Linked DNA regions of Danio rerio. The protein of the gene in region 1 purifies or fractionates together with the protein of each later gene. This does not show direct contact. Links are inferred from orthologs where the notes say so. Each region holds a gene or a part of one and is shown in the gene's direction. Other genes may lie near its edges.

Evidence for each region.
Region 2: the proteins of plrg1 (region 1) and xab2 purify together in Homo sapiens (affinity purification with mass spectrometry; 3 studies listed by BioGRID and IntAct, counting the BioPlex papers as one, with this or other methods). This does not show direct contact. The link is inferred for Danio rerio from reciprocal best matches to the Homo sapiens genes PLRG1 and XAB2.

The regions. Positions count from the first base shown.
Region 1 is NC_133176.1:27,248,519-27,252,485, forward strand, and holds the start of plrg1 (pleiotropic regulator 1), read left to right. Parts: upstream 1-1,167; 5' UTR 1,168-1,265; coding exon 1,266-1,274; intron 1,275-1,462; coding exon 1,463-1,569; intron 1,570-3,967. UniProt on the Homo sapiens protein: Involved in pre-mRNA splicing as component of the spliceosome. Component of the PRP19-CDC5L complex that forms an integral part of the spliceosome and is required for activating pre-mRNA splicing.
Region 2 is NC_133178.1:55,865,549-55,869,048, forward strand, and holds part of xab2 (pre-mRNA-splicing factor SYF1), read left to right. Parts: coding exon 1-73; intron 74-1,927; coding exon 1,928-2,092; intron 2,093-2,452; coding exon 2,453-2,597; intron 2,598-2,678; coding exon 2,679-2,830; intron 2,831-2,932; coding exon 2,933-3,052; intron 3,053-3,500. UniProt on the Homo sapiens protein: Involved in pre-mRNA splicing as component of the spliceosome. Involved in transcription-coupled repair (TCR), transcription and pre-mRNA splicing.

The DNA.
Region 1 (3,967 bases):
AATTTTCATTTTTGAGTAAACCAATCCTTTAATGATATTATTGCAAATATGCCATGTTGATGGCAGCTATCAAGGTTTAGATAGCTATCATCTTAATATACATCAATTAAACAGTAATAAACATTTCTTTTTGTAGTTCAATAATGTATGGTATGGTAAGGACACACAATAAAAAACGACACAGAAAATATTATATTTACCTCATATTTTGATATCTTGTGAGTAAGGTATCAAGGCGGCCCAGTCAGTCAGTTTACATAGGACTACTAATTTTGTTTTCATACAAAGTAGTTTTTTTAGCTTTAATAAACTATCATAATAAAAGCTATTTTAATTCCGGTAAGGACCATGTAAATGTGTGGGATGGCCGCATTTAGTTACAATAAAAAATCATAAACAATATTAGCCTATATAATAATAATAAACTTGAAGAAAGAAATGTTAAATAAGCTGATGAAAATCAAATAATATAAATTTTTAGTAAAATGTTCTTATTTTTTAAAACAAATTGTGACCAGAGTTATGGAACATGAACAAAAATATGTTTGGAGGTATTTTCATAAGTTTAGGCTATATAAAATCACTTAAATATTATTATATATAAACAAACATTTTTTTCAAGGTCTGTAATATTTATAAAGCATCATATACCAAATTTTAACATATATCTAAAAATATGTAAATAAAAAAAACACTTTCTCTTGGCAAAAAAGTATATTATTTTATAGTGCCACCTTGTGGATTCTCACTAGTAGGTCTTTTACTACATCCTAAATTTTCAAAACTAGCAGATGAAATAAATTAAATTGGCTGCCTGACCTTTTTACATTATTTATTTATTTATTTATTTATTTATTTATTTATTTATTTATTTATTTATTTATTTATTTATCTATCTATCTATTTATTTATTTATTTATTGGTTTGTTTGTTTAGAACCCATAAGCAGTCATTAACTTTAGTGTTTAATGTGGTCTTCCCAAAGTTGTTGGCAGCCAAATACATCGATACTGTAAATGTTGTGTTTATTGTAAATGGCCATAAGTTGACTTTTTGGTGATAAAAAAATAAAAATAAAATACGAAAAAAAAAAGACTTTTAATGGACTGTCGTGTCTTGCTGACGTAACACCCTACCGGAAAACGCTTTGTCGCGCCCGGAAGCTGTGCGTACGTTTGCACTACTGGTTCGGGTTGTGATTGTTCGGTGTGTTGGGAAGTTTCTTTATTTGCGTTAGTTCGTCGTGTTTTAAAGGACCCCCAAACATGACCGAGGTAAGGCTGTGCTGTTGTTGCATTAGCCGTTGTTCATTTGAAAATGATATCTGTTTAGTTTTTCTGTAATTGAACGCGGCGTAACGTTACTGTATTACCACACGTGTGGTCATTTGGATCTGCATATACGTCTTATAATATCCAATCAATTAATCGATGTTGATATTTTGTCTTTTTTATACACACAGGACGTGCAGAAGCACTCAGTCCACACGCTTGTGTTTCGCTCTTTGAAACGGACTCATGATATGTTTGTGGCGGATCATGCCAAACCTATAGCGCAGGACGAGCAGAGGTAAATAATCAAACTTTTTGCTCTCAGTATTGTATGGCAACGTTGATTAAAAATTAAAATCGATATAGACCTTTCACTCACCCTCAGATGGTTCCAAACCTTAATACGTTTCTATTTAATTGAGATATGTTGAAGAATCTTGGAAACCGGTTGCCATTGACATTCATAGTAGGGAAAATATTATAAGCGTCACATTGAGGTGAAGCTGGTTTTGTATTCGCTCATTCGGACTTTCTCCTTAATAATATAATTTTTGTTAAAGTAATCTTTGCAAATTTTAAATGGGAAAACCATATTAGCAGCCACGACTATCAAAATACAGTATTGTTCACAGTCAAATAAATGGTGCTAATGTTGTTTTGAAGTCATATTTATATGTGATTTCAGACTGAATGATCAAAGTACCTAGGTAAACAATATAGGGAGCATGTCACAAGTTATCACTGAAAGAATGTACGGATATAAAACCAACTTTTCCTCAATGGACATCATTGGCTACCGGCTTCCAAGATTCTTCAAAATGTCTTATTTTGTGTTCAACTAAAAAAAAATCTGACAAGTTTGGATCAATTGGGAGGGTGAATCATTTTTAATTTTTGAGCAAACTGGCTTTTCAAGCAGAAAAGACATTTTGAATGGTGGTGGTGATTTATAAACTCGTGTTACAGGGTTTGTTAAAGCCATGTTTTTTTACAATAACATTTTACAGCATTTGACAGGCTGTTCATCACCACTGTGAAGATCCTACTCAATGCTTGTTTTACAAGATTTCCTTATCTGCAAAACAAATTTCATTGGACTGTCCTGCTTTTAAAGGGGTGGTCCAGAGTGTATTTTTAAGCCTTGTTGTGTTTATAAGATGCAAAGCAATGTGTGCTCATGTTTAATTTGTAGAACATCTTACTTTGATTATATACAACTACTCAGCTAACATGAAAACAACTGTCATTTCCTAGTTTCTTCAAAAGCCTGTCCTCAAGAGGCTCTGATTGGTCAGCTAACATAATGTGCTGTGATTCACAGATCGGCTCCACGTCACCAGGAAATGCACCTCTAATAGCATGCACTGTGCCTTTGCTTGTGTAAATACTGTCAATCAGTTTAGCTGTTAGTCATATCAGTTTGAGCCTGAATCAGAAAGAAAAAGAAAAGGACACAGCTGAACCTCACGCCCGTTCTCTAAAATAAAACCTGACAAGTGTCTTTCACATATATCCGGAATAAGCATGTGTAAGTAATATGAAACTTTCACATATCTTTTGCGAGTTTGTTGTCTGAGATGTAGAACACAGGGAAATCGACCTCATAGACACTGCAGCGTGGTAAAGATTGTGGCTGTTTACAAGGGTTTGATGGACAAATATGAATTTGTAGCCAAATTGTTAGTAGTGCCCTACAGCATTTCCCATTGTTTACATTTTTGTTTGTGTCTTTGCTTCAGCATACCGTTAATGATAGAAACTGTGCATGTAGTAGATCAATTATAACAAATATAAATATCAGTTTTGTCTATTATGGTTGCAACTTCTGCTTCTTTGGAGGAGTTTTAGCCGAATCCAACACTGAACTTGGAAACATTCTGGAAGCTGTCCTTTGTCAAATGCTAGAGCTTTATCATTTTTATCATTCTCTGGAACATAATTAAAATTAAGCTAGTTCGATTGAGTAGGCGCAGCCAATGTGACATCGTAGCGGAGTTTGCGGAGGTTTGGGTGCGTACAACATGATTTCGGGAATAGTTTTTTTTCTTTACACTCGAGCAAACAGTGTGTGCGGTGCCGCATTTGATTTGAGTTTAATATGAAACACTTTGAAGAGATTTTGTCTGGAACAGGTACGCCTGTACAGACATCTTTTGTAGAGATAACCATTTATAGGATTTTACAGTGATGTATATATTACAATTTTGAATTTAAAACAATTTAATAGTTACAAAACTAAAATGAAGGAACAAAATATTTCTTTGATAACTGGAAAGGAATATTTAAACCCATCGGTTTACAATATACTGATGGCTTGTTTGTCTAGGCTTTATCAAATCAAATCAGGCCTTTATTTGTCACATACACTTTCGTATTGTGAAATTTGACCGTACACAAACATCACAATTTTCAGGGGAAGACAGGTCACAGGAGGTAGCATTTAGAAAGGCAAGATGCATCAGGAGGGTTAGGCAAAAAATACCCTCTAAACTTTGCTCTTGATTAGAGCAAATTGAGACGGAGAAAAACAGCCCATCTAGCACAAGAAAGCACACAGACAAGACACAACATTGACAACTGGGATGGGAACAGGGGATATGGATGTAGTGCGATGAGGGTGGGCAGCCATCTGGTCCTGCAGCCATGGAGGAGCTGGTCGCAGACCCGCCCACTCCTCTCATGGGTGAAAGCATACG
Region 2 (3,500 bases), on another chromosome or scaffold:
AGCCGCATTACGTCTGGCTGCTGTGGTCAATGATGAAAACTTTGTTTCTAAAGAAGGAAAGTCCAATTATCAGGTCAGCAAATGACAGATTGTTACTTAAAAAAATGTATGTGTCCTGTAAATCTTGTATGTTAAAACATTACTATAGTTCAGGGTTGTTTTAGTTTTTTAACATATTTCACATCACATGATTCTTCAGAAATCATTCGATATTTGGGTTATTATTCAATTGATAGTCATATTATGTTTAGCATCATGAGTTTAGCTTTTCTCTGGAAACTTACATTTTTATTTAAAAAAAGGGTTGGGTGGTATTTGTTGTCTAAAATGATAATTGTTGTAATGTTGTGCAAGCAGACAATAGTGTCTCACTGGCAGTTTTAGTGTCATATTTAGTTATCGATCGCACCGGCACAAAAACACACTATTAAAGAGATAGTTTACCCAAAAATGAAAATTTCCACATCATCTACTCACACTACTCACACTTTTTTTCCTCTGTTGAACACAAAACAAGATCTTCTGAAAAATGTTGGAAACACACATCCCTTGACATCCACAGGGAGATTACAATATACTATGTTAATCAGTGACTGTTTTCTCCAACATTTTCAGTTTATTTTCATTTGTGTTTTTACAGAAAAAAAAACACGAACAAGTAGAGGATGAGTGTTTGAGTAAACAATCTCTTTAACTTATATAGATATTTAACTTTAAAAGATATATTTTTGCTCTATCACACAACCCTAATTACTAGGGATGTAACAGATCATGGTTGATTTGTGATTCGTACGTATCACAACCCATGGTTTGGAACACCTGTGACCAGCGGTTTTAATACTTTTTTGCTTGTAGATTTACCCGTAATTTGTAACGATCACAGAGAGATCGTCTCTCACGTCATGCAAATCACATGTATGAAAGCATTTAGGCTTTCCTGTAAAATATAATGATGACTGAAGAAGTTGTGTTAGGTTATTTGGGATGTGGTGGGTTTCTTAGGTTATTAAAGGTGTTTTCTGTCACTACTTGTTTAGCCTGCATTAATGGATTCAGTGTAAGCTGCATGATTAATTATTAAAAGATCGGGATCTTAACACCCACACAATATAAATATAAATAATGGTGATTTGCATGTTTATTAATCCTTCAAATCGCTGCATTCAAATCTGAAAACGCAAAAATCAAGAAAGAGATTGAGTGTTTAGTCTTAAGTTAGTTATGAAGTTACAAACAGTAAAAAAACAAAGAAGTACTGAGATAACAGTTTATAGTTTAGATAAAACCACTGATGATTATTAAATTCTTTACAATAAATTAATGGTAAAGATTTGCTCAAAAATTAACAGCAGCTATTACATTATTTAACCAATAGGTGGCAACAATCAGCCATCAAAAATATGCCACTGAATAATTCTTCAAAAATTACACATTTAGCAATGAAACATGACGTTTTATGAGTAAATAACTGAATCATTGAAAATAAAAAAAAAGAGAAAATCGAAAATGAGACAAAATAAAAATGGGTTGTACAAATTATAATGTTAGATTTCTATATTTAGCGTTATCAGTAACAGTAGTGGTAGGTATGTATTTTTTTTTTTAAAGTACTGAATATTTTACAGTTTATTTTTCTTCAGCTGATTATTTCTTCATTTTTATTGTAATAAAGTTACAGGTTCTAAGTTCTGTTTGTTTGAACCAACATTTCCTACAGACTGTTTTTGTAATAACGAAAAGCAAATTACAATTGTCTCTTTTCCTTATTGGCTGATCTAAAAAAATGGTCTGATCCTTGACTAAAAACCATAATGTGATCCGAATCGTGAGATTTGTGATCCGCTACACCACTAATAAATACATTTGTGAATTATGTGCAACATATTTTTCAAATTTTTGTTTTGTAAATGTAAATTTTGAATTCCAGTTGTGGCACGAGCTCTGTGATCTCATCTCACAAAACCCGGACAAGGTGACCTCGCTGAACGTGGGAGCGATTATCAGAGGAGGCCTCACTCGCTTCACTGACCAGCTGGGCAAACTCTGGTGCTCAATGGCCGATTACTACATCCGCAGTGGCCACTTCGAGAAGGTAAACCACGCGTTTAATAAAACACAAAGGACTCTATTCTAACAATCTAAGTGCAATGTCTAAAGAGGATGTCTAAAAACTCTGCGTCATTGACTTAGACCAGCTTTTTGATGGTCAATGATGTGGTTTATTTCAGTCGTCTCAAAATAGCAGGGTGCCAACAATGTGCCTTAACCTTCTTTTCAGACCAACACACCCATAAGTGCACAAAGTGGCGCAAATACTTTAGTTATTTAAACAACTTGGCACGAAACGTGAAAATGACACGTGCGCCGTTCTAAAAATAGCAAAAAAACAAAACAAAGACTCACCAATTACTTATACTCAAATTGATGACATTTTCTGTCTTGCTTCCTCAAGGCTCGAGATGTTTACGAAGAAGCCATCCTAACAGTTGTGACCGTGCGAGACTTCACCCAAGTTTTCGACAGCTACGCGCAGTTTGAGGAGAGCATGATCGCTGCCAAAATGGAGACCACATCTGAACTAGGCCAGGATGAAGACGGTGAGAGATTTTTCACAGAAGACCTTACAGGAATTGAGCCTTGACCTTGGTCTTACAGAAGTGCTTATTTCTCTACTCTAGATGACATTGACTTGGAGTTGCGGTTGGCTCGATTTGAGTCTCTTATAACTCGCCGGCCGCTTTTGTTAAACAGCGTGCTGCTGCGTCAAAACCCTCACAACGTTCACGAGTGGCACAAGAGAGTCAAACTCTATGAGGGCCAGCCTCGACAGGTCAGAACCATTACTTACATTTGAATATCTATTCATATTTGTTTTAACATTACTACTATGTTGGTGTTTTTGACGCGTCTTGTGGTGTTGTTTTTCTTGTAGATCATCAACACGTACACGGAAGCTGTGCAAACAATAGATCCTATGAAAGCCACTGGAAAGCCTCACAGTCTCTGGGTGTCCTTCGCCAAATTCTACGAGGATAATGAACAGATAGACGATGTATGTAGTTCTTGACATTGATCATTGTAGTTGATTATGGTAAATGTGAGGTTCGGTCCTTAAACTCTATTAGGCCTATCCAATCTGCTTTCAACTACATGGCGCGGATGATTGGCTGCCGTCACTTCAGCAACCAATGAGCCCACTCCTCATTGTTTAAATACCCCAGAGTTGTTTCTACTTTCAATTTACAGTGTATTAATTTACAACAGTTTTTTTTCTTTAACAAATGAAACGTTTATAGTCCACAACTACTGTATTTTAATATAACAGTTAAATCATAAAAAATTAAGTGATTGACAGTGACGTGTTATGACAAGCTATAATTTGACTTGCTTGAAATATGCAGACTTGACTTGACTTGAGTCACACAGATATTGATTTGACTTGCTTGAGACTTAAAGGTTATGACTCTAGACTTGTGACTTGCACATGTGTGATCCACCTC